7 linked regions of the Ovis aries genome follow. The protein of the gene in region 6 interacts with the protein of the main gene of each other region in a biochemical or structural test. Links are inferred from orthologs where the notes say so. Each region holds a gene or a part of one and is shown on either strand. Other genes may lie near its edges.

Evidence for each region.
Region 1: the proteins of SHC1 (region 6) and ERBB4 form a complex in vitro, tested with the Homo sapiens proteins (2 studies listed by BioGRID and IntAct, with this or other methods). The link is inferred for Ovis aries from reciprocal best matches to the Homo sapiens genes SHC1 and ERBB4.
Region 2: the proteins of SHC1 (region 6) and GAB1 form a complex in vitro, tested with the Homo sapiens proteins (2 studies listed by BioGRID and IntAct, with this or other methods). The link is inferred for Ovis aries from reciprocal best matches to the Homo sapiens genes SHC1 and GAB1.
Region 3: the proteins of SHC1 (region 6) and ERBB3 form a complex in vitro, tested with the Homo sapiens proteins (2 studies listed by BioGRID and IntAct, with this or other methods). The link is inferred for Ovis aries from reciprocal best matches to the Homo sapiens genes SHC1 and ERBB3.
Region 4: the proteins of SHC1 (region 6) and CSF3R form a complex in vitro, tested with the Homo sapiens proteins (2 studies listed by BioGRID, with this or other methods). The link is inferred for Ovis aries from reciprocal best matches to the Homo sapiens genes SHC1 and CSF3R.
Region 5: the proteins of SHC1 (region 6) and FLT4 form a complex in vitro, tested with the Homo sapiens proteins (2 studies listed by BioGRID). The link is inferred for Ovis aries from reciprocal best matches to the Homo sapiens genes SHC1 and FLT4.
Region 7: the proteins of SHC1 (region 6) and PTPN12 form a complex in vitro, tested with the Homo sapiens proteins (2 studies listed by BioGRID). The link is inferred for Ovis aries from reciprocal best matches to the Homo sapiens genes SHC1 and PTPN12.

What each region holds. Positions count from the first base shown.
Region 1 is NC_056055.1:213,136,239-213,139,738, forward strand, and holds part of ERBB4 (receptor tyrosine-protein kinase erbB-4), read right to left. Parts: intron 3,230-3,500; coding exon 2,784-3,229; 3' UTR 1-2,783. UniProt on the Homo sapiens protein: Tyrosine-protein kinase that plays an essential role as cell surface receptor for neuregulins and EGF family members and regulates development of the heart, the central nervous system and the mammary gland, gene transcription, cell proliferation, differentiation, migration and apoptosis.
Region 2 is NC_056070.1:14,499,040-14,502,539, forward strand, and holds part of GAB1 (GRB2-associated-binding protein 1), read right to left. Parts: intron 2,618-3,500; coding exon 2,524-2,617; intron 1,284-2,523; coding exon 1,160-1,283; intron 1-1,159. UniProt on the Homo sapiens protein: Adapter protein that plays a role in intracellular signaling cascades triggered by activated receptor-type kinases. Plays a role in FGFR1 signaling. Probably involved in signaling by the epidermal growth factor receptor (EGFR) and the insulin receptor (INSR).
Region 3 is NC_056056.1:163,445,690-163,449,189, forward strand, and holds part of ERBB3 (receptor tyrosine-protein kinase erbB-3), read right to left. Parts: coding exon 3,418-3,500; intron 1,483-3,417; coding exon 1,369-1,482; intron 1,268-1,368; coding exon 1,147-1,267; intron 1-1,146. UniProt on the Homo sapiens protein: Tyrosine-protein kinase that plays an essential role as cell surface receptor for neuregulins.
Region 4 is NC_056054.1:11,303,789-11,307,288, forward strand, and holds part of CSF3R (granulocyte colony-stimulating factor receptor), read right to left. Parts: intron 2,862-3,500; coding exon 2,738-2,861; intron 2,585-2,737; coding exon 2,397-2,584; intron 1,608-2,396; coding exon 1,438-1,607; intron 1,321-1,437; coding exon 1,167-1,320; intron 1,075-1,166; coding exon 995-1,074; intron 616-994; coding exon 402-615; intron 1-401. UniProt on the Homo sapiens protein: Receptor for granulocyte colony-stimulating factor (CSF3), essential for granulocytic maturation. Plays a crucial role in the proliferation, differentiation and survival of cells along the neutrophilic lineage.
Region 5 is NC_056058.1:345,175-349,323, reverse strand, and holds the start of FLT4 (vascular endothelial growth factor receptor 3), read right to left. Parts: upstream 2,801-4,149; 5' UTR 2,778-2,800; coding exon 2,711-2,777; intron 1-2,710. UniProt on the Homo sapiens protein: Tyrosine-protein kinase that acts as a cell-surface receptor for VEGFC and VEGFD, and plays an essential role in adult lymphangiogenesis and in the development of the vascular network and the cardiovascular system during embryonic development.
Region 6 is NC_056054.1:105,187,764-105,191,263, forward strand, and holds part of SHC1 (SHC-transforming protein 1), read right to left. Parts: intron 2,891-3,500; coding exon 2,692-2,890; intron 2,606-2,691; coding exon 2,536-2,605; intron 2,463-2,535; coding exon 2,328-2,462; intron 2,164-2,327; coding exon 1,925-2,163; intron 1,109-1,924; coding exon 980-1,108; 3' UTR 1-979. UniProt on the Homo sapiens protein: Signaling adapter that couples activated growth factor receptors to signaling pathways. Participates in a signaling cascade initiated by activated KIT and KITLG/SCF.
Region 7 is NC_056057.1:45,131,365-45,134,864, forward strand, and holds part of PTPN12 (tyrosine-protein phosphatase non-receptor type 12), read right to left. Parts: intron 3,309-3,500; coding exon 3,166-3,308; intron 1,207-3,165; coding exon 1,140-1,206; intron 1-1,139. UniProt on the Homo sapiens protein: Dephosphorylates a range of proteins, and thereby regulates cellular signaling cascades. Dephosphorylates cellular tyrosine kinases, such as ERBB2 and PTK2B/PYK2, and thereby regulates signaling via ERBB2 and PTK2B/PYK2.

The sequences.
Region 1 (3,500 bases), on a different chromosome or scaffold from region 6:
GGTTTCTATCTAAACTTCTATAAATGATGATGTGAGGACTGCTTTTCCTGGAGATTCCTCTGACTGGGTGGAAGAACTCTGAGCTTTTAGGCTGTGGCCCTGAATCATTCTGTCTTCACCCTTGGGAAACTCATGCTTGAACTTCACTGTAAGGGCTCTCATAAAACCCCTCCTTACTCGACCTCATTCTTTTAGCTTCCCTCACTTTTCACAACTTCAGAAGAAAACAATTCCAATGTCTCCAATGTTCTTGGGCAAAAACCAACATCTACTGCTGATTTAATGGCTAAGTTAGAATCCGGAAGTGACACTTAGCCAGTGATACAATACCCTTCTAGACCAGTTTGCGTTTGGATGATAACACTGAAACTCTCCTATGCGTTACTTTCAGTAACTTGTAGGACGTTTCACTCATGTCCCAGATGAGTTCACAGAAGATCTTTTAACAAATAGCTGATTTTATACAATTGTTCAAAAAAGAGTCCATGCAACTGTATTCTTTGAATTATAAAAAAAAAATTAAATGTCATTCCAAATACATTTTAATTGTAAAATTTTAAAGTTAGGGATAGTATTGCATTTATCTGGGTGTTCCCCACATAACACAGTGCTTTTAGTAGACTATAAATAAATATGAATTGAAAAAAAAGGGAGATGAATGGGTGGAGAGACTTACTTTTTCAAAATAGGCAGAAACCTAGATTTCTTGTCATTTTTTTCCTACTATTTCCCATGGAGATTTTCAGTCTGTTTTCAATTAGGTGATTCATTCTGGAGAAGGAAATGGCAACCCACTCCAGTATTCTTGCTTGGAGAATCCCATGGATGGGGGAGCCTGGCAGGATACAGTCCATGGGGTCTCAAGAGTCGGACATGACTTAGCGACTAAACCACCACCACCAGGTGATACATTCAAATTCCCAATATTTTATCACTGGAAAGAAATATATTTTACAAAATTCCAAATAAATTGGGGCAGATTTTCCTAGAAGGGGCAGATTTATATCCAATTTTTCTAATTGCTGACCTGAGGCCTCCATTTTTCTGAAAACTCAACCCTATCCTTTGTTTCTATTGCTCATCTTAACTTAATAGGTATTCTTCAAAATGATACATAATAAAGATGGCTCTAGAACTAGGATGCTGTTTGAAGAAAAAGAGTTATCATATAAGGTATCAAAAGGGTAGTATGTTGTATATTAAAATAATTACATGAGAAACTTTTTTCACATTTATTTACAACTCTTAACCCAAGGATCTATCTAAAGCAATGAATGTTTATTTATTTCTTTTTGTTATACCAATTTAGGTGCAAAGTTACCTTCCACTTAATATGAATGAGTCTTATACTAAAAATTCCATGGAATTTAAGCCAATCCTTACTTGCATTCCTTCAAATGGAGTGTACAAACTGGACAACTTTCCTCATGTAGAAAATGTGATATTACATGTGGAGCATGTACTGACTCTTTCACCATAATCCCCTGATACTGTTCCAAAATCCTAACTTGCTTGGTTTGGCATTTCCACAGTCTTTCTTTATCTTAGCTCTTTAAAAAAAATGTACTCAAATGTGTTATTGTGCTGGTTGCTTCCATATTGCTTCATTCAAAATCCAAAATGAAGTTCAGAAAGAGAACAAATAAAACTACAGCTCAAGTGCAAACTACATTTCTGAGTATCTATCAGGTAGACATACTCAATCCAGTGTGTTTCTTCCAGTTCAAAGGATTCCCCATTGGACCACCCCTGAAAGTGCCAGTAGTTTTTATAAATCACGCAGAACGGTCTCTTAGTTTCCCTTCTATTCTTAACATTATTACTACCTATCAAGTACTGTCTTTCATAGAGGGGAAGAAAATGAAGAATATAAAGGAAGGGAGGGAGGAGAATCCATATTCAATACTGTAAAACACAAAAGTTAGATTTAATGCTATGTTTGACCAATACCTTGGCCTCCCCTTCTAATTTTAAAGACTGTATATTTAAAATAGTGGCCATTTCACCATATTAAAATATCTTTTTACAATTCTTTCAATTTATAGCAACACCTAAGAAGGTTTGATGTAAAAAGCTTTGCAATTACAAACTAAAGCTGAAGATACAGGAGAAAGTAATATGAAGAGAAAGATCAAAGCAAAACAAAATGGTAAAACAAAAAAGCTCCCCAAACATAATTACTGGTTATAACTTGGATGAAGATTCAAAAATTATGAAGGCTGAGTTGGCCATTCTTGCTTGTCAAGACAGACCCTGGTGGAGAAAGAGTTTGGATTTTCAATCTTAAGTTACTATCATACATTATAGAAAAGGTTATCCTTTTGTTCTACTGAAAACGTCCTTAGGATTACCAGGGATGCTGAAAATATACGGATCAGTTCCTGCAGATAGGAATAGATAGCTTGGATCTTCCAAGCATCTGCTTTGAAAGAAAGGAAGGAAGGAATAAAAAGAAAACAATGGTGGGGTGGGGGACGCTGAGAACTAGTTTGACGGCAGGCAGTCTTGCCTCCTATTTGCGTGTCCTTTTCTAGCTGTTCCAGTCTCCTGGCCAACCCATGCAGAGAAATGAAGAAACAGTGTGGTTCCTCCTCTCTTTCTCTTTCATCCTTCCTTCTAATGTTCAAGTTAGATAAGCACAAAATTAGCATTGCATCTCTATAGCTTCCACTGGGAAGTGTCAAAACTACTGGCCTTAGGAGTAGAAGGAAGAAAACAAGAGAAAGAGAGGCGGCGGGAAATTAGAGTGGGTGTGTCTCTCCGCCTGAAAACCACTGCGGAGCTCACACCACAGTATTCCGGTGTCTGTAGGGCGGCGGAGGCAGCACAGTGCCTGGCTTCAGCGAGAACTCAGAGAGGTATTCGGGATTCTCTGCCACAATAGGCCGGATCCGTCCATTTTGTTTATAAAAATATTTTGTGCTGTACTCCTGCAGGTAGTCTGGGTGCTGGAGGGTGCTCCGAGGTGGCAGGCTGTGGTTCCAGTAGTCGGGGTTGTCGAATGCTTTCTTGGCCTTCTCTGGCACAGACAGTACGCTGTTCTTCAGGTACTCGGCGTTCCCCAAGGCGTTGGCAAAGGTGTTGAGGTACAGCGGCTCGTTTACATACTCATCCTCTGCCTTGGGTGCACCACTGGAAGCGCTGTGATATTCGGGATTATCCAAAGCCTGAAGGTCTCCATTTTTCCTCCGAGAAACGAAAGGGTTCTCCTCCACAGGGTTCAGGTATTCTGATGGAATACAAAAGTATCAGTTAACATCTACTTTCTGGAAAATGTAATTCTGGCCATGGTGCCTTTTCCAGAACAATAAAGCCACGGGCTTCATGAATTTTCCCCAAAACTATTTTGTTGATTACAGCTGTCATAGGAAAGAGGAGTAAGTGGGCAAAAAAATGCTAGTGGCAAAACGAGGCACCAACAGGGCCAACGTCAGAGTTCCTGACCCCTAGACTGTTCTTCTTCTCTTCTAATTATATTTGTCTCTCCTACATATTGGAGA
Region 2 (3,500 bases), on a different chromosome or scaffold from region 6:
CCCTAACTGAAAATGTACAGAATTATTCACAGCACTGCAGGCTATGAACAGAACCCTTGAATTCATGTGATGTACACGTTTAATCTAAGTAAGTTGTTCCTAAAGTGAATTTCTTAGGATTGCTAGTTAAATTGTGCTCTGTCTAATAATTAATAGAACTGGCATTTTTTTCATCCTTAAGTATTGTTAAAATCTATGTCTCGACAAAAAAGTCTGTTTGCTCCCTATCTAATCTCAACTGGGAACAGCCCGTGTCTGCCTTCTAGTTTTTAACACAGTGTTTCCCCAAAAGAGTTAGAAAAACCCTAAGATTCTAGGAGTTATTATGAGGTGTTCTGTGAATTAAAAGAAAAAAAAATTAGTTGGGACTTCCCTGGTGATCCAGTGGCTAAGACTTTGCACTTCCACCGCAGGGAGCAAGCGTTTGGTTCCTTAGTCAGGGAACTAAGATCCCGCATGCCATGTGTCACGGCCAAAAAAAGAGAAAAAATAGTAGTGCTTTGTTTTTCTAAAATTCTTGAAAAAAATACATACAAGTATTAAACATATTTTTGTTATTGTTACAAACAATATATGTCATTAGTAATGATGTACCATAACTTGAATTTCAGGTGCTTAATTAAGTGAATTTCGTAACTTAATTTTCAACCCTTAAGGAACATGAAGGGTTCATTTCATGAATGCTTGATTTTAGATCTTTGTGTAAATGAATACACAAAGCATCCTGAGCACCCTGATTTGAATCTGGAGAAATGCATTATAAAATGCTTCCAGTATAACGCATTTTCTTGAATGGTTTCAAACATCAAGTACATATGAAAAGAAATATAACTGGAAAATTTTTTATCATCTTTATCTAACTTATATCTACTTTACAGATATAGTATTACCCTCTGACCCGATATTGGTTTTAGACTTTATGATCTGCTTTTCAAAAGCATTTTAAAAACTCTCCTTAACTTCTTATTCAAACTCCTCACTCTCCAGTATGGAATTAATTAAAATACATACAGAGCAAAAGAAAAAAAAAAAGTCCTTTTTCCTGGAGTAAACAAAGAAAGGTGGATGGGTAACGTGTATGAACTGGAAGAAAGGTTGAGCGCGAACGACTCAGAAGGGCTGCTGAGGAAGAGAGATGTTAAGAGAAGACGCTACTCACGGAGTCTTCACTGGATAGGTTGGGGTTCATCGGAACGTAATTCTCTTCACTGTCGTGCGAGTCGCTGCTTGAAGTTGTGCTGTGCACAGAATCCGGCCGGGGAGACAGGGGGAACCTGGAGGAGCTGAGGGCAGAGAGGGTCGTCACAAACACACAGCCTGACCCAGGTTTCTCAGCTCGCTTCCACAGCAAGAATAAGAGAGAGGGCATATTCTTCCCAGAAGAACTGAAGCTTGTAATCATTTACTATACATATTTACTATAGTCCACTTTATTGCAGACATTCAAACACATATCTAGTGTTTATAGCTATTTGTAAACAGATATTTAAAGAGAAACTTATACAGATATTAAAAAAAAAAACTTTGAAAGGTTACTTTCCATTTATAGTTATTACAAAATGTTGGCTCTATTCTCCATGTTGTACAACACATTCTTGAGCCTATGTTACACCCAGTAGTCTGAACCTCCTACTTGCCCTTCCTTACTGCGATCCCCCACCCTGTGAGGGGATGCTGTGCTGTGCTAGGTCGGCTCAGCCATGTCCCACTCTTTGCGACTCTCTGGACTGTGGCCCACCAGGCTCCTCTGTCCATGGGATTCTCTAGGGCAAGAATACTGGAGTGGGTTGCCATGCCCTCCTTCAAGGGATCTTCCCAACTCAGGGACTGAACTCACATCTCCCCATAAAGGGATGTTTCTGGGCATTTAATAGCCTTGTGCAGAGCAAAAAAAAAAGAAAGAAAAAAAGTATCGCTAGTGATATGGGGGATAAATAGAAAGTCACAGCTTTAAAAAGGAAGATTTAAGCATTCTTATTTTTAAAAAAACTTGTTTATACATATAAAATATGAACACATCAACACAGGTTTGTAACTGTGTACATTCTTTTTATTTCCACGTATATATTTAAATGAATCTTTATTAAATAATCCTCACAAGAAACTACCATAGTTTCCAGATCAGTAGTTCTCAGAAATTTCTAGCCTCATGAACCTTTCACATTCTTAAAAAATTATTGAGAACCCCAAGGAACTTTCGTTTATAGGGTGATATCTATTGACATTCACCATATTACAAATAATAGAAAAAAAATTAAGCACAGGCATACACAAAGGCACACTCTCTTAGCTGCCACAATGGTTATCGCCCAGTATTAGCCACCTCTGGAAAACTCCAGTGTACACTCATGAGAGAAGGAGAGTGGAGAAGCAAATGACATCTTAGTATATTAATGAAATAGTTTTGACTTCACAGAAACCCAAAAGGGGAGGGGTTCCCCAGACCATCCTCTGGGAACCACTGTTTTAGGTACTTTCCATTACAAAGAACAATTGAGCTATGTATTTTATATAAAGACTTACTCTCGAGCAAAACTCCTAGTGATGGGAGATCTAACTGGGGCTTGTAATTCTTCCCATTCTGGCAAAGGTTTTATTTCTAAAGGTGCTGGCTTGACTGAAACAAGAGAGAGAAAATGAGATTTTAGTACATAGAAATTTGGAAAACATGACCTTCTTTCTACACCTCTACTATAGCCAGAGTACACCTAGGACTGGCTAGTTTTCACATGAAAAGAAGTTCACAGATGTTATGTGATTTCTCCAAGGTTACACAGCTAAAAAAATTAGCGACAAAGGCTAAATTAGATAATTTCCTGACTGTTTACTGAAAGTCTAAATAAAGCTCTATTATTACATGTTGCTTCTTAATTGAAGTACATATTTTATGACTATAAACTTAATGAGAAGAAGAGTAATGTGGCACAATTCCTTCAGAGTTATTTGATTTATAATTTTCATTATTTCCTTATTTTATTTTTTCTACTAATGTTATATCGTCAAACACAGAGGTTTAATTTTCTATGTAAAAATGTTCCTCATTATCCACACTGAAGCATGAGCTGTGCAACTTTACATACAAAATGATGTTTCGAAAGCAATAAACATAACACTTTGCTAAAATCAAAAACTTAAAAAGGAATCAATGATTAAAGTTTTGAAATTAATTCGGGTCCAGTCTGGAACCAAATAGAACAAAGCAATAATTACGTCTTTATACTCAAACTCAGATCTGAGAAAGGCCATAAAATTAACTACCTCAAATGTTTAGCTTCTTTTAACCAACAATGTCCTCTATTAAATTAAGTAAAAATAAATGCTAATATTCTTATTAGCTTTATTTGTAAGAGGTCTTCACTAACTTACCCCATTATTGCAATCAATTACTGCAAGAATTAACTACTCTGCTAGTATATACCACAGAGCTCTTTGCCCTCAAAGTAAGACTCAGATTCCAGGAATACAGAAAATGTGCAAAAAGAAGTACAACACTATTAGCT
Region 3 (3,500 bases), on a different chromosome or scaffold from region 6:
ATTTTGTATCTGCTAATTTCTTGATTTAAACAAATGTACTGTGGTTAAGTAAGAAAACGTTCTTGTTTTCAAGGAATACACCCTGAAATGTCACTGGGGTGAGAGGACACCATGTCTGGAAATTTACCTTCAAGTGGTTCAGAAAAACAAGAGCATATATAATGAGTGTGTGTGTGTGCGTGTGTGTGTTGTGTAGAGAGAGAAATGATAAAGCATATGGTACACTGGAGAAGGCGATGGCACCCCACTCCAGTACCCTTGCCTGGAAAATCCCAAGGATGGAGAAGCCTGGTATGCTACAGTCCATGGGGTCACAAAAAGTCAGACAGGACTGAGTGACTTCACTTTCCTTTCCTTTTTTTATGGTACACTGTTAACACTTGCTGCTGCTAAGTCGCTTCAGTCATGTCCGACTCTGTGCGACCCCATAGATGGCAGCCCACCAGGCTCCCCCGTCCCTGGGATTCTCCAGGCAAGAACACTGGAGTGGGTTGCCATTTCCTTCTCCAATGCATGAAAGTGAAAAGTGAAAGTGAAGTCGCTCAGTCATGTCCGTGCAACCCCATGGACTGCAGCCTATCAGGCTCCTCCGCCCATGGGATTTTCTAGGCAAGGGTACTGGAGTGGGGTGCCGTTGGGGGATCTGAATAAAGAGCATATGGAAAATCTTTGTACCATTTTTTGCAACTTTAGATACAATATTGTCCAAAGACAAGTGGTCCTAACGTTTTGTCTCTCTCTCTCTCTCTCTCTCACACACACACACACTCACTCACTGTAAACGCTGTCCTGTGGACTGGAATGTCCCTTGCTCTTTGTGGCTCCATACCAAGGAGCAGAACTAGGTGAAACAGCTGGAAGTCATGGGGAGAAAGATTTGTATCCAACTTAAGAACATTTAGAAACCTTTAAGAAGGAGGATACTCTGTCCCTGTCCCTTGCCATTCAGGTGGCTGGGTTGTTCAGGGGTGTCTGAGGGGATTCAAGCCCTGGGGGATTAAGCACTGCCAGGTCCTTTGTGATCTCTTTAAGATTTTATGATCTAACTTCCTGATCAGCTCCCCGTATGAAGGCTTGAACCAGTGCAATGAACTGTGAGGGGGTTGATGGGGTTGGGGATCAGAGGATGAAAACAGAATCTCTAACCCATTGAGGCCAGTGATAAGAAAGTCCAGGTTGCCCAGGATCTTGGTGCAGTTCACGAATCCATCAATGTTGCTCGAGTCCACAGTCTGGAAGCGGCTCCCAGAGCCTGTCCCCTCACAGGCTGCAAACAGAAGAGGCTCAGTGTGGGGATGAGGGGTCGGGGCTGAGTAGTCTCAGGGGAAAGGGTGTCTCTTCACCAACTCCTTTCAATCTCTTACTCACCTTTCGGGCACAGACCCCCACAAGGTTCACATATCTTGAGTCCATTTTTATCTACTTCCATCTTGTCAGCAGGACAGGCCCTGACACAAGACGTTTGATCCACCACAAAGTTATCTAGGAAAGAGGAAAGAGATGAGGGACGAACACTGCCAACTACCAGCTGAACCGCCTCCCTCCTTATCTGCATGGATTTGCTCCAATTGACCACCGGAGGTTCCTTAAGTGCTGGATTCTAAGCATGGATTAGAAAGGCCCTTTGCTCTCTGGATCCCAAAAGCAGAACTAGAAGCAATTGGTGGAAGTCATGGGGAAACAGATACGGGGAACAGGACATAGGGGCCATTTGTTAAGGGTGATGATGATCACAACCCATTGCCCTTTACACTCTCAATTAAACTCCCAACTTGATCCATTTCACCTCCTAAAATTGCATCTAGGGAATTTCCTGGCAGTACAGTGATTAGGACTCCGTGCTTTCACTGCTGAAGGCTTGAGTCCGATCCCTAGTCAGGACATGGCCAAAAAAAGGAAAAAATTTCATCTAAAACCCTGGTTAATATTGTGGGAGGAAGCACAACTTAAGGAGTAGAATGTGCTTACCCCTGGGGTAAGATATATAGCAGGAACCAGCCTGGCAACATGGCCAGGACTGCCACTCAAAATAATCACCACTGATTTAAAGTTTTATTTAGACTTCATTCATACCCTTGAAGTCGATAAAAGTCTTGCCACATTTTATTAGTGAAGTTGGAAGATGTATCATTTGTTTGTTGTTCTGTCCCCTCCCCCAATACTAAACTGTGAAATTTGATTTGTTTAAACTCTGGATGAATCATAGCTTAGTTTGCATGTCCAGCTAATTTGTTTCTATACATTTTCTTTGATTCTCTTTCTCCTTCTCTCAGGGTTTTTACCCAATATATATATGTGTATGTATATAGGTATAGATACATAAATAGATCTTCCTAAAAGTTTTTTGAGGTGCAAGTTTCTCTGTTTTGTTTTTCTCTGTGATTTATGGACATGATGCTGAGATTCAATCACTACATAAAACATCCGGCTATGAAAACAAAACAGAAAACCCAAAGGACTGTTTTTTCCACCAGCTCCGGGGAAGCTATGTGTCAGTCGGATGCTGATTTCAGAAAGATTCACTGTTCCTTCCATTCTGTTTCTCTCTTTCCTCTAGAAAGAAGTTGATCCTAATGATTTCAGCCCATGAATTAAACAGGACAAAATAACAAATGTGTGGAATTCATATTTTTCTAAAGGGAACTTAAAAACTGCTGCTACATGTTACATACAAAATTGGTTTATACCACATGAACAGAAAATCCCAAGTTCAGTTTTGGTATTTTTCCTTCCTCTTTGTTTTCAGTCATATAGTACTTCCAAATTCAAAATGAGAAGAAAAGCTCTTTTGTATCAAACCATCTATGCAATAAATGTTATATTTTAAAAACAGCAGGTCGCTGGTCACACACACAAACACACACAGAATAAGATTAAATAAAATCCTGTCAGGGACTTCCTTGGTGGTCCAATGGTTAAGACTCCGTGCTTCCAGTGTAAAGGGCATGGGTTCAATCACTGTTCAGGGAATTAAGATTCCACATGCTGTGCAGTGTGGCAAAAACAATATTAAAAAAATAAAATGGATAGGACTTCCCTGGTGGCACAGTGGACGGGAACCTGCCTGCCAATCTAGGAGACACAGATTCAATCCCTTGTCTGGGAAGATCCCACATGCAGTGAAGCAACTAAGTCTATGTGCCACGACTACTGAGCCTGAGCTCTAGAGCCCACGAGCCACAGCTACTGAAGCCTTTATGCCTAGAGCCCATGCTGCTCAACAAGAGAAGCCTCCACTATGAGAAGCCCACACATTGAAATTAAGAGAAGAACCCGGTTCACCGCAATAGAGAAAGCGGCGCAAAGCAACAAAGATCCAGCGCTACTATTCATAAATACATAAATTTTTGTAAAAAAAAGGCTAAAAGAATAAAATCCTGGTTCCACTCCCATTGTTCCTTCCCTTCAGACACTTACGGGGACAGCTGGCTACACACACTCCTCCATACTGATACTTGGTATAGGGATTGGGTTCCAACTGGAAAGTTAGCTTGTTGTAG
Region 4 (3,500 bases), about 94 Mb from region 6:
TCTTAGCCACTGGACTGCCAGGGAAGCCCTAGGGACTATGTTTTAGCTGGAAAACTTTAGAACTTTCCCTCCCATTTCCTTGGCAGAATAGAGTGTGTGTGTAGGCACTGCCACCAGCTTAACTTGGTTCTGGTTAATGATAATAATAGTCGCTAACACATATGGAACAGTTACTTTGTGTAGGCACATGTCTAAACTCATGTAATCTTCACAGCAATGCTTTGAGTTAGACACTGTACCATTCCCATTTGCTAGATGAGTAAACTGAGGCCAGGGAGGGTAAGCAACTTGCCCAGATCTCATTGCTAACAAGTAACAGGATTAGATTTGAACCCAGGCAGTCTAGCCTCTGAATTTACCTACTTAACCACCATACTCTACTAGCTGTGGGCCCTTTCTACCTCTGCTTTCCAAGAAGACCACGCGGGTGGGATGCGAGGTCCCAGCTGTGTTATAGGCCTTAAGGATCACCTCCCGGGCTTCTGAAGGCAGTTGGAAGGTACAGTTCAGCTCCGTGGTGTCACAGAGGATTGGCTCTGCCCCAGCCTGGTCTGAGGGTCTCCAGGAAACCAGGTAACCTTGGATCTGCCTGCTGTCTTCTTCCAGGGCTATTGGCTGTTAGTGGGCATAGGAGGAAAAAGACGAGGGGATGCGCAGCTCATCTTGAGTGGGGGAGAGCTTCTAGATGGAGCGTCCGTGTCCCCGGAACTAAGCCACCCAGACTGGGAGTCAGTCCTCCTCCCTCCCTCCCTTCTCCCCCTGTGCCAGGTCCTAGAAGGGAGGAAAGGATAAAGTAACTCAGTGTGAGCAGCAGGCGCCTAACAAGGTGAGTCCTGCATTGTAGTCTCTGCAGAAGGGCACTGCCCAGCAAAGTGTGTGCAGATCACGTACAGATGCATCCAAGCCTGCCAGGCCTGCTGGAGTCCCAAGCCCCAGCTTGCAGGGGTCTGTTTGAATCTGAAGAGGTGGAGGGATGGCCTTCAGAGGGGGTTACCTTCCAGAACAGCTGCACGGCCACCGTCTGGGGGTCCAGCTGCCTCTGCCGCCACCACGTGTCCAGTCTGACGATGGGGGCTGTGGAGGGAGTGGGAGGGGAGGGTCAGGGAGGGCCCCGGAGGCCAGCCTGGGTCCTGATGGCTGCTCCTAGCCCCTCACCACCTGCTCACCCCGTTGTGCAGTGGTCAGCTCCAGGCTGGGGCTCCATTCGCTCCAGTGGCCGGGCAGGCGCCAGCGGGTACAGCGCATTTGCAGGGTGTAGGCTGTGGATGGGAGGAGCCCGCAGAGTTCATACTGGGGGGTCCTGGCAGGCAGGCCGCTCACCTGGTGGAAGACAGGCATGACTGTTGGCCTGGACCTCTGTGCCCTTCAGGGCCAGCTCAGCTTACCCTCCCCTCAGCCACCCCCATCCCAGGCCCCTCAGGTTGCCCTCTGCCTCACCAGGTCCCAGCCGGCTTCTCCAAGCCGAGGCTGGTGGCGCAGCTCACACTTCTGTTCTATGTACAGGCTTGGCTTCCAGGTCTCCCAGCGCAGCCTCAGGCAGCCTGGCTGGGGTGGGGCCACCGCAGGGCTGGGCTCCAGGGCCCACAGTGTGGGGGGCTCCAGTTTCACTGCAAGGAGAGGAGTTATCGGACACTTTCTCTGCTTCATCCTCCAGGGCTCTGTCCTGGCTTCCCCTTGTCTCCCTGTCTGTGGTTCCATTTCTTCTCTGGGTCTCCAATCGTGGTATCTCTATATCTTTCCATCTCTCTCTGTGTCCCTTCATCTCTGCGTCATCCTGTTTCTGCAGGTTTGTCTCTGTCCATGAGCCTGCTTCTCTCTCCCTTTCCTACTCTTGCCCCATGGGCCTTTGCACTGGTTGTTCCCTCGGTCTGGAGCACTTACTTTCCGAATATACAGTGTCTTGCTCCCTCATTTCCTGCAAGGATCTTCTCAAATGTTGTCTTCTCAGTGAGGCCTTCCCTGACTGCCTTCTCCCCAGCTGTCCCTACCCCATCCCCGGCTTAATTTCCTCATCACACATACCATTACCTGACATTTTATTATTCTTTGCCCACCAGAATGTAAGTGGGCAAAATTTCGGGGGCACGATTTTTGCTGTGTTATTTACTGCTGTATTCCCAGCCCCTAGAATGGTGCCTAGCGCAGAGTGGGCGCTTCAGGAAATTTGCTGGAAGAATGAATGAGTGTGTCTCCTTGCTTGTGTTTCTCCCACATCCCTGTCTGTGTCTCCATAGCTCCGTCTTCAATTGAATCCCACTTTGTTTTTCTCCCTTCTCTTCCTCCAGGTCTTTCAGCATCTTATTGTCTGTTGCTGGGTCTGTGTTTCCCTCCCTGTGCGTCTCTGAGTCTGCTCATGGTGGGGACCTCTTTCCTCCCCCACACCCAGCGTCACCCACCAACGTCCATGGGAGCAAGGCAGAGCTTCGGGGAAACGCTGGTCCCCAGCGCGTTCCTGGCCTGCACCCAGATGCTCATGTTCTGGTACAGCTGCAGGTGTTTGCGGGGGATGGCGCAGTGGCTCTGCCCGTCCTCCGGCACGCAGTCAGGGATGGAATCCTTCTGCGTCTGGCATTTGTCCTGGCTCCTGCCAATGGGCCAGGCTTGGATGTAAAGCGGGGGCAGAAAGCCAAGCTCCCTTCTCCTCCCCATCTCTGCCTTGGCTCTCCACCCCACAGTCCTACCTGTGGTCTGTCCCAGAACCCAAAGTAATGGGGCTGGCATAAGGACCCTTACTCACTTGAAGCTCTTCAGGGTGAAGCTTGTGGACAGGTGGGTGTCGGGGCCTGGCTCCCACTGGCAGATGAGGCTGCTGGTTGTGAGGTTCATGAGGCAGGATAGGTTGTGGGGTGCAGTGGGAGGGTCTGTGGGTAGGGTGGAGAGAATGAGGGCTTCAGGTAAGACCATTCAGAAAGCTCCCACTGGGATCAGTTGGGCATTTCCTTGCCCTGGGTCTCCATGGCAAGTGGGTTGCCAACCCATCTGCCATGCCTTTGTCTCTATGCAGGGTGACCCCAGAAGGGCAGCCCTGGGGTAAGCTAAGTTATCCACACGTACACGGACAAGTAAACAGAGCCTCCAACCCTCTCAACTCCGCCCTTTTTGACAGTAACAGTGTAGTGTCTGGGTTTTCATCCTGGTTCTGCCACTCATCAGTGGTGTGATCTTGAAGTCACCTAATGGCTCTGTGCCTCAGTTTCCTCATCTGTAAAATGGGGGTAATGGTAATATACCTACCACTTAGGGTTATTGTGAGGGCTGAGTGGCTTACTAGGCATACAGTGCTCAGAGCAGTGCCTGGCATATATGCTGCTGCTGCTAAGTCGCTTCAGTCGTGTCTGACTCTGTGCAACCCCATAGATGGCAGCCCAACAGGCTGCCCCATCCCTGGGATTCTCCAGGCAAGAACACTGGAGTGGGATGCCATTTCCTTCTCCAACTGGCATATGTGAGTGCTCTGTAAATCTTAATTTTCACTATTATTGATTCTTAAACAAGAACCT
Region 5 (4,149 bases), on a different chromosome or scaffold from region 6:
GGCTGCCTGCCACTGCCTGGGGGTCAGGGTGGGGGTGGCACAGCAAGGAGATGGCCAGACAGTCCCCTTGTCACACCTCATGCCCAGCCTGGTGCCTGGTCATGTGGACACTGTGCTGTGGGGAGGCAAAGAGTCCTTCGGCCACACTGACCCAGTGCCTCCAGCATGCTGGGTCTGTGAGCACGCCTGTATGTGAGTCCTCAGAGCACTGAGCTAAGGCCAGTGCTGTACCTGCACTGACTCACATGCCTGCCCCTCTCCCACACCTCTGTCCACACCTGGCCCTGGCTCAGGGCTGAGGAGCAGGGACGGGAAAGAGCTGGGATGGTCATGAGTGTCTCAGCCGTGGTAGGAACCAGTAGCCTCATGGCTGGCCAACCAAGCTTCCTGGCAATTGCCTCCTTCCCCACATGTCCCTGAGCTGACTGCCCACCGTTCAGAGGCACAGACAGCCTCTATAGAGTCTAAGCCCCAAGAGATAAAGCCTGTAGGAGGTGGCCTCTGCCATCTGCCTTCTCTAGAGGGACACGATTGGGGTAAGGAGTCCAGCCCCAAGCACAGCCCCTCAGAGCGTGCCAGCTTGTTGCAGTGCTATGTGTGGGCAAACTGAGGCATAAGGAGAGGAAGGGAGGGGTCCAGGCAACACAGCAAGTAATTTAGGGGTAGAGCCAGGAAGGAGCCAGCTCTGGGACAAGCACCACATCTCTGAGGGTCGCCTTCGGGCCAGGCTGCTCACCTGCCAGCACGTGGCCTCACACTGGGGCTGCACTGGAATGTCTGAGCTTCTGCTCCAGCACTCCCATCAGTCTAGGGGCTTCTCAGGTCCTCTTCAGCCCCAAAGTGGGTGGCACAAGTATAAGGCTCAGGGACTGTGGCAATGGTCTGCTCTCAACGGGTTATCTCCCTACCAGCCGTGCCCTGGTCCAGCCAAGGCTGTCCCCCTCCACGGGCCCCTTGGCTTCATTCTTTCTCTTCTCCCTCACTGCCCAGCTTTGGTAAGAATCACCTGTACTCACTGCGAGACTGACTTATCCCCCCTCTGTCTGCTACCTTGCACTCGCTCTACTCAGGAGCACCAGGACGTGAGTCTCTCCTGGTTTTCCTTACACTCTGCACATTGGATGTTTTCTATCTCCCTGGAAGCCTCTCGCTCTCTGGTCCCCTCTTTGGGGAAGATGGTCCCATCCTGGGACAGCTTCCTCTTCAGCCTCTCTCCTGAGCCTTGGACACTGTACCCACTGCCTGCTGGATGTCTTCTCAAGGTGGGATATCCCACTCAGCCCTGAAGTCCAACCACGGCACCTGTGAAAGCCTGGGCCTGGGAAGGGTGCAGGGGAGCAAAGAAGGGCCAAGAGGCAGCCCCTCTGCTCAGACCTGCCCTGACTTGGAGGCCGGAAGTTGTCTTCTTCCATCCTCCTCCCCCTAGGTTCACCCACACTTCCCTTCACTCCACTCTCCCCAGCCCTTCAGCCCATATAGACACAGAGAATGGGGTTCTTGTATCCCAAAGACCTGGGTTGAACATGTCCTTTACTACTGGCTTCCTGAGGACTTTGGGGGAAGTTACCCCTGTCCTTGGTTCAAGTGTTCCCGTTTGTAAAAAGGGTCTAACATTTCCTTGTGAGGATTAAAAGAAATGAAACATGTAAAGCCAGTATTCAAAGCCAACAGTGTTTAAAAATAGAGGTATCCATTTCTCCCTTCAGATCTTTCAGAACTACTCCCTCAGACACTGGGGACCCATGATCGGTCCTCCGCCCTCTGACCCCCAGGGTCACTGGATCTCTCATGGGCTTCCAGCTCATCTGCCTCTCATTCCTGATGCTTTCCCCCTGACATCTGCAAACAGCCACCCCTCCCTCAATCCCCAAACTCTCTTCCCTCCGATCGCTCAGAGGCAACCTTTAGTCATGTTCCCATCACCTGTTTCCACACTGCCTCTCCTGTGTTGAAGACCCTTCTTTGCAGCCCCTGCCTTATGATCCTTAGCTTGGCCATCCAGGGTGCTACCCCCCAAATATGGCGAGGGCCGGCCTTCTGCCTCTCCTGCCATGCTGATCACTTACGAGCTGCTGACTCAAGATCAGCCTCAAAATCCAACAACTGCGCCCAGTTTTCCCGGACTACGCCTGATTCCCTGCATCCCTTGGGACTGCTCCATCCCAGCAGTCCTTGGCCTGGGGAAAGTGAACAGCAACCAGAGTTCCCTCAGGAATGCTGATCTCGAGCGCAGACTAGAGTCGCGGGGAAGTGCGCCTCCGAGACTACGACCTGGCGGGGACTGCAACCTCTGCGCTGGGGGACAACCTCAGCGCGCGCGGATCGCAGGATAGAGTAGTGCGGTGCCCCGACTCCGCAGAAAAGCGTGTAAGCAAGCGAAGGATCCAGGCTGAGGATGCAGCGCGAAGGGGCCCGGGTCCAAGGGAGCTGAACCATAGACCGTGGAGTGAAGTCGAGAACCCATCTCCACGCTGCTGGGCTGCCCCGCGGCCCGTCCTCTCCCTTTCCTCATCCCGGCAAGCCCGGCCCGACTCTCTGTGCTCCTTCCGGGATCTGAATTCCTGGCTCTCAACCCTGTCTCCCCTCGTGCCCAAGGGTCCCGCGGGCCCCGTCCCCCGACCGGTCTCGCGTCCGTGCAGTCCCACCATTTGCCCAGGGAAAGCGTCCCCGCTCGTGGCCAGCTGCGCACTGGGGCCGGCGGAGGGCTCACCACGCTCGTTGTCGAGCAGTCCGAGGCAGAGCCACAGGCGCAGGCACAACGCGGCACCCCGCTGCATCTCCGGCCGCGGTGGCGCGGATCAAACGTGCGACCGCGGCTCGCGCTTGAGTGTGGGCGCGAGGCACCGCGCAGGCGGGGCCGGGGCGGGGCTGCGGCCGGGGCGGGGCTCCCGCGGCGGCCTTGGCCTCGGAGAGCGGCCCTCGCACCTCTTAGGACCGCCCTCTCGCAGGAGACTGCCGCAGCGACGTGAGGGTGCTGGCGCGAGGGAGGGCTGGTCCGCGCCCCACTGCCGAGTCAACCGCAACCCTTCAGGTTGGCCATTGTGAGTTAAAAAGGGCACGAACCCAGCCGCCAAGATTGGACAAAACGTGGCAGCACGTATTTTTCTGTAATTTCCTTCAGTTAATAAATACTATGTTTAAAGTAGGAAAAAGAAGAAAGCAATATAATTTAAAATAGCAATATATCAAATCTTTGAGACCGTTCAGTAAACTTTATCTTACCGCCTACGTGGTGTAGATGGAGACTGGACCCTTGGGCCAGGCACCCAGTATAACTAACCTCCATCCTGCAGGCATGTCCTCTTTAGATTTCCTCCAAATAGTTTTGCTCTGAGCTCATTCAGAAGTCCTTTCATCAGGTGACAGTTTGCTCTCCGACTTGGCAACCCTTTCATAGACTTCCTTTCTCTTTTCAGGTCTGTCTCTAGATTTTTCCTATTTAAAAACAAATCCCATGAGCATGACTGTCTCCCTCTTCTGCTTTCATAATCACACTTTTACTATCCCTCCCCCTACCACCTGCAAAAGTCCATTCATCCTTGTCAAAAACCCTTGTTGGAAACAATTGTTACTAAATCTCTAATGCAAGAAAGAATGGAACTTAAGTTGTAATCATATATGGAATATTTAATAAATAATGTGAAAGGTAGGCAACCAAATAAACGAAGTTAGATCCTTTTCCTCAACCACATGTTGCTTTTCTTTCAACTTTTGTTGTTAGTTTTAACATATTGAAATTTGGTTTTAATATATTGTATTTAGTTTAAATACGTTGATATATAATCAAGGTACTATAAATGAGAATTTTAAAGCAAACACTTCTGTTTCAGTCCCACAGATTAAAGAATATAAAATGGCACAAGCTTTCCAGAAGCTTGCCCTTTCTCCTCCTTAACCCCCAAATCCTGGCTTTATCATTTCGCTGCTTTTCTTTATCATTTTATTTCCCAGATATATTTTGCTTGTTTTTAACCTGGCCTTATCATTTCCCTGCTTTTCTTTATCATTTTATTTCCCAGACATATTTTGCTTGTTCATTGCATAATCTTTTGCTCAGCATCTTTTGTGAGATTCATGTGTATTTCTATGAAGACCTATGAAAAAGTGAGTGTTAGTCATCTTGTCTGACTCTTTGTGACCCCATGGACT
Region 6 (3,500 bases):
CAGTTCCAAACCTACCAATGGTATCTGGGGATTGTCTACTGCTTTAAAGTCTCAATGCCCCTGTTCCCACCTCGACCAAATCCAGCTGGGATGGCAGCTCCGTCACCCCCCTCACCACCCCTGCAGGGGGAGGCAGGGCAGAGGCCAGGAAGAAGGGCTGTACTTTGGCTGTAGAGTATAACATGCATGCAACATGGTGGGGGGGGGGGGTGGCTTACGAAATGTATATACAGAGCCCTGGGTGAGGGGCCCCAGCCAGGAGGCACTGAGCAAGGGAGGGGTCCATCTCCCCACTGGCTGAGAGCAGGGTGCCGCGGCAGTCTCTAAGGGCTGCACATCCCAGGGAGAGGGGACAGCTGCTACTCCTGCCTCTGCTGGCCCAACCTAAACTGGAGGAGGTGCTGAGCGAGGAGAGGACGGGGTCCCAGAAGCCAAGAAGCTGTCAGCACCCCCATCCTTGACTTCAGGGGCCCAAGAACTCTTTGCATAAAATATCTTCAGACCTAGGAGATGGTCAAAGGCACAAAATTTGAATGCTGGGAGGGAGGGTTGTTGAGGAGTCTGGGGTACCCTGAGCCCAGGGGTAGACTAAAGGTATGATTCAGTTCCCCTTCCCTGAAAGGGTGATTACTCCACTGGGCCTATCACCACAGAACATCTTCCATTACCAGGAAGCATCCTGCCCAGGCCTCCAGCACCCACCTTGGGGAAAAGGGTATCAAGTTGGCACAGGAAAGGCCCAGGGAAGGGGGCCACTCTGTACATTAATACTTTGGTGAGGTTTGGGGAGAAGCAGGACTCTACCCCTGGTTCCTGACTCAAACCCTCTCACTCAGCTGCATGCTGAACCCAGTGTCCACAGTATCCCCAGTCCTACACAAGGCCAAGCCCACGAACACTCCCAAGTGAGGTCCAAAGAGTCAGGGAATAGGGTGGAAGGGACCGCAGGCCGTCTTCTGAGAGAGAGCACTGGAACAGGTCACAGTTTCCGCTCCACAGGCTGCTGGAGACACAGTTCGCTGCCCGCAGAGATGATGGGCAAGTGATTGTCCATGTGGTAGCTGATGAGGTGACTGACACTCTCAAAGCGGTGATCCTTTGTCCGAACCTGGGGAGTGGGAACAGAGAAAGGAGATTCAGGTGAAGAGTCAGATAAAATCTCAGTCTCCAAGGCCGAGGAAGCTGGGATAGTCAAGAGGGTTGAGGCAGGAGAAAAAGATGGCAGGAGAGGGAGGGCTCTCAGTTCTGATCACTGAGGCTTCTCTGGGAAGAGAAGCTGGAGACAGATGTGGGAATGGGCAAGTCAGTGAACTGGGAAAAGGCAGAACAGACATGAGCCCAGAAGTCGTGAAACTGAAGGCTAGCTACTCCTTCCCTGACCTGGAGGAGGGCGGTATGTCCAAGAAGAGGATACACAGGACACAAAAAGACATGCAAAGGAGGCTGAGACTGCTGCAGAAACAAGAGTGAAGTCATGAGGGGCAGCGGGCGGCGCAGACAGGAGACAGGGCTCTGGTCTGACTCCTGAGTCTGCAGGAGCTGGGGAGGCCCCTGGCTCCTCTTGTGAAAAGTTTCAGGATATTTCGCCTCTAGACATCTGACATAGAGCACTACAATTCTGGCGGATGGTTTCCTTATTTGTCAAAAGAGGGACTAGTGAGATGACCACTTTCTAGCTCTCAAGGGCACAACGTTTGGGGACTGGCAAGGACTGAAGGGAATACAGCTCAGGTGAGGGATGTGAGAAGGGAAGGAACTCTAAACCACTAGACGAAGGAGATGCCAGACACCTGGGAACAGGGGAGGCCCAGACAGAGGTGCCCAGCAGACAAAGTCTAGGAAGCAGTGAGGCAGGAGCAGAGCCACAGGTAGGGGACTGCACCTTCCTTTCTGCCATGCCCACCTACACCCCTGCCACACTCACCACTCCCTCAGGGTCCACCAGGAGCAGGTGCTTGGGCTGCCCACTCTGCAGGCCGGTGAGCACGTACTGGCCCGGCGTGGTCGTGCTTTCCCGCACCAGGAAGTCCCCGTTGACTTGTAGCAGTGCCTCAGCCTCGCGCCGGCTCAGCTTCCCGTGGAACCAGGGCTCCCCTCGGAGCTGCTCAGCCATGGCTGTTGACTGGGGAGGTGGAGGCATTCGCAAGGCATCTTCAAAGGGCTCTGGGGATACAGAGAGAGGGCTAGGAGAGGCAGCTGACACAACCCTATGCTCAGGACCTAGACCTTTAGGGAGGGGAGGCCAGGAAGCAAAAAGCAGAGAGGCAGGAAAAGAGGAGGAATCAAGTGAGAAGATGGAGACACAGAAAGGCGAGAGGCACACTTACTCATATCAAAGAGGTCTCGGGGTGCACTACCATTGATGGCAGGATTGGGGGGCCCGGCCCCGGCCCCTGCTTGCCGGGCCTTGTCTAGGTTCTGGACATTGACGTACGAGGGGTCATCAAAGAGCTCTCTGCCTGCTGAGAAAACGGAGGCTTTAGAGGGGCCCCGCCCTGCTTCTCACTCCCCTCTGCCCCTCAGTCCCCTTCATACCTGAGCAGGGTGGCGGGGGCGGTATCTGTCTGCGGGCTTCTGGGTCTCCCCCAGCAGGCTGCCCCACAGGCTGCAGGGACCAAGACAGAGTGAAACCAGAGGCCCTAACCAGCTGCTCCCATCCAAGCCCCACCCGCCTCCATCCAAGCAACATACCAGCGTGGCTCCCAGGTGGCTGGGGGTCTGGGCACTGGGTGGAGTGGGTCGAGCAGCCCCTGGGAGGGCTCCTTCCCGAAGCCTCATGTCCACCACACCCCCGAGAGGTGGTTCCTTCCCCGGGAAGTCATTATAGTACTGATGGTCAGGGGGCTCTTCCTCCTCCTCATCCCAAGCTGAGCCATCAAAGCCAGCCATCCTGAGAGAGACAGGAGGGAGAAAGGAGTGTGGATGGGAGGACGGAGGGAGAACGGAACAGTGGTCACGTATGGGGCATTCCCTGAGGGGTAGGCCTGAGGATGGGTGTTTCACGTATAATCATTTCACTCTCTGGGCAACCGATAAAGCACATACTGTTTCCTTCTCCAGTTTTTTAGTTGAGGAAAATGATGATCAGGGATAAAAAGATTTTGGTCACACAACTAAGAAATGGTCAGACGGCATCACCGACTCAATGGATACGAGTTTGAGCAAACCTTGGGAGATAGTGGAGGACAGGGAGGCCTGGCGTGTTGCAGTCCATGGGGTCGCAAAGAGCTGGACATGACTTAGCGACTGAACCACCACCGCTACTGGTGGAGCCGAGTGTCAATTCAGAGTTTGCCTTAACGTCATGCCCTTGATCGTCACGCGGTCTCCCAAGAGGGAGGGGAGACACCAAGTAACCAGGGAGGGGGTGCCCTAGAATATCCCAACCCCTCCTCTAAATACTCGATCCTACTGGTCTGAGGTGGGAAACGTGACCATCTCAGGAAAGAGCCATCCTCCCTTGCCCAAATTCTTGATGGCTTCTAGAGGCAAGAACGTGA
Region 7 (3,500 bases), on a different chromosome or scaffold from region 6:
GCAAGATGTTTGCCTGCTTGTATTCATCCAAGTGCTTCCCATCCTGATTTTAATCCCTGATTTTTATGTTAAAATGTGTTATAAAGCCACTTAAATTTTGTTCATTTCATGAGTATCAGGAAATGATTAGAATGGGGGAATACCAAAATAAAATTAAACAGCAGGCTTTTTGAAAAACAATTGAAAATTTAAATATTCCTCATGCAAAAGTACAAAATGGAAAGGCAGAGAAAAAAAAGTTAAATGAATAAAAGGAAGAATGAAAAGAAAATAAATATTTTATCATTCATATTTTATATGACAGATTGACATATTCATAGAAATTATAAAGCTATGAAGAATAAAACTTCTTCCTAATTCATAGAAAATGAATGTACTATAGAACCAGCAAATAAACCAAATCTACATATAAGGAGACTTATGCTTTTTAAATCTGTAATGAAGGCTATTTCTTTATATCCTCCATGGTATCAAAACCAATTTCTTGGAAACAGAAGTAGTAGCAACAATAATAACAAGGATTATAATAAAAACTAACAGTAAGTGGAACACTTGCTATCTGCCACATACAGTAGTGATGAACTTTACAAGTTTCTGAAGAACTTACTTAATTCTTCAATTATTAACGGTATGATTCCCACTTTGAAATAAAGAGATTATGGCACAATGAAATAAAGTAATTCGACCAAGATCCCACAACTAGTAAATGACAGAGCCAAGAATTTTAACCTGGGAGGTCTAGCTCCAGTCAGCATTCTTAACCACTAAACTATATAATGTTTCCAGTTAGACATAAATATTCACTGACTTGACTATATTTATACATAGATAAATATAAAAGGCACCAGGGATGCAGTATTTGGAAAAGTCAACGCAGAGCATACATATCTAATGTAGGTATAAATTCATCCAAAACAAATGAGTGACAATATGTTCATTTTGCTGCCCAGTGTATTACCTCATGCTAATACGCATCATTTATACCTTTCACTGCCTTTATCTCTTACATAGCAAAGCTACTTCTAAAAAAGTAGTAACATGTATAACAAAACGTATGGCATAATTTACTGCAATTAGTCATAAGTTTAAAAATCGTAACAGATGAATTAGATATAATGCTATATAAAAATTATTCTTACCCCAGCTTTCAGTAAATTCCACGTATAATCTATGGCACAAATGGCACCTGTTCTTCCACAGCCTGCACTATGGATATAAAATTTGAAAAAACAATTGATTTTTGTAATAAAAGAACTATAAGATAAACGTGGATGGATATGTTAATACTCAGAAGCGAAAATCGTTTAAGAAAGCTGATAAAATTCTACTTATTTAGTAAGTAAACTACAACTTAAGATGTGTGCAGGGCAAACATCCTTAAAATTATGATTTACATATTGTTTTCCTTTAAGGAACCTGCAAGAGTAATACCTCGAAACCTCCACTTTGAAAGTCTGTCTACCTCGTGAAACCTTGTCTAGCTAACAAAACACCTTGCAGAGATAAATTTATACTATGTTCTAGATAGCTCTGGTAGAGGGAGAAATCTACATCATTTCAACCTGCAAAAGGTACAGGAAAGATGAAGATTAATAAGCCCTAGAAACTGGTTTGAACATAAGCAGTGATTACACTAAAGAAAGAAAGGCCTCTAATGCTTTCTAATCTCCTGAAGAACAGAACCTAAAGAATGTAAAGTAAAATATCAAAGTTAGTTATTTTAAAACACGACAAAAATAAAGTAAATGGTTTTCAGCTAGAGGGAGGCAAATGCACCCAACGACTGGAAATCACTATGAGTAAATAAAGATGCTACTGACATCTTTAATAATTTTAGGCAGAAAAAAATTGGGGTAGCACTTTAATATGTATTTTGAAACTTTTAGAAATATCATGTAATCTAAGAATTCATGATACAATACATTTTAAGCAATTTAGTATGGTTTTCTAAAAAGCTCTTAACAATAGACATCAAAATATTAATTTTAAACCACTGATTTATTTGTCAATTCCACACATCAAAACGTTTCTAAAATTTTAGTGTTAAGAGTTACTAGAGCTAAATGATATATATGTAAAACTTGGTGGTTAAAAGTGTGATATTACAAAGACAGAGACAACTATATCAATGAAACACTACATAATATTTCGGTTGTTTGAAAATATTAAATGATCAACTTTATTTTATTAAAAGAAAATCTTCACATCAAATTGGGTTTATGACCTATACATTGGCTGGACAATATGAATACAACAGGAAATAATTTCAGTTAACTTGTAAAGAAGTCAAGCCAAAGCAATTTATCTTTTAATTCTACAATTAAACAGACCCTTCTCTTTTTAACCAGTTAACTACTTAGACTCAACTAATCACAGACAAACTAAAGAAAAATCATTTTAATTAAGCAGGTTGCTAACTGATTCCTACGTCTACATCAGCAGGTCACCTTTCTGGTTCATAAGAAAAAGCAGCCCTTTCACTTCACTAATACAGGCATCACAATCCAACCAAATGGCTAAGAAAACTCTCTTTGGTGCTCCATCACCACTAATGTCTTTTTCTAACTTTTTATTTTTTATATTCGAGTCAATTAACAATGAGGTGACAGTTTCAGGTGGAAAGCAAAGAGACTCAACCATCCATTCTTCCCCAAACTCGCTGCCACATAACATTGAGCAGAGTTCCCTGTGCTACAGAATAGGCCCCTGTTGGCTATCCAATTTAAATATAACTCCACTAATACCTTTTAACTATTGAATTAGCCTGAGTTAATTAACCTCTGAGTCTGAAAATTTTCATTTACTTTTCATAACAACTGTGAATACAGGTTTAAGTCACTTAAAAAATAAATTGCTATTTTATGAAATAAGTACTATGATTTTAAGTCTTTTGGAAAAATCTAATATAAAATAAAAAATTAAGAGAAGGAAAACTGCCTCAGGAATTAAATGACCAATCTAACTCCGGGAGCTGGTGATGGACAGGGAGGCCTGGCGTGCTGTGATCCATAGGGTCGCAAAGAGTCGGACACAACTGAGTGACTGAACTGAACTGAACTGAATGAAATTCGAAACTTATGTTTCAAAATGCTATACATTACCCACATTATAATGCCATCTATACTGAAAAATATTTAATTAAATATTTAGAAAAATTTTTTGTACCTGCAATGAATACAAATAGGCACATCTTCATGTTCCTGGTATTTCCTCATTAAGCTTATCATGTCCAGAATAGAATCAAATGATGAAGGAACATCATGGTCTGGCCAGTTCACATAATGAAACTGATATAGCCTACGAGATTCCTTCAAGAATAACAGAAATTCAACCATATAAAAATACAGTTACAAATTTTAAACCATAAAGAAAAGCTGCACATCTCACTTTGCTGTCATTTCTAAGATAGGTATGTCATATTCAGCACTTTGTTAAAAAAAAATGATAGCCTACATTTATCACATACCTTTTCTTAATCCCCCATGTAATACAATGGGGAA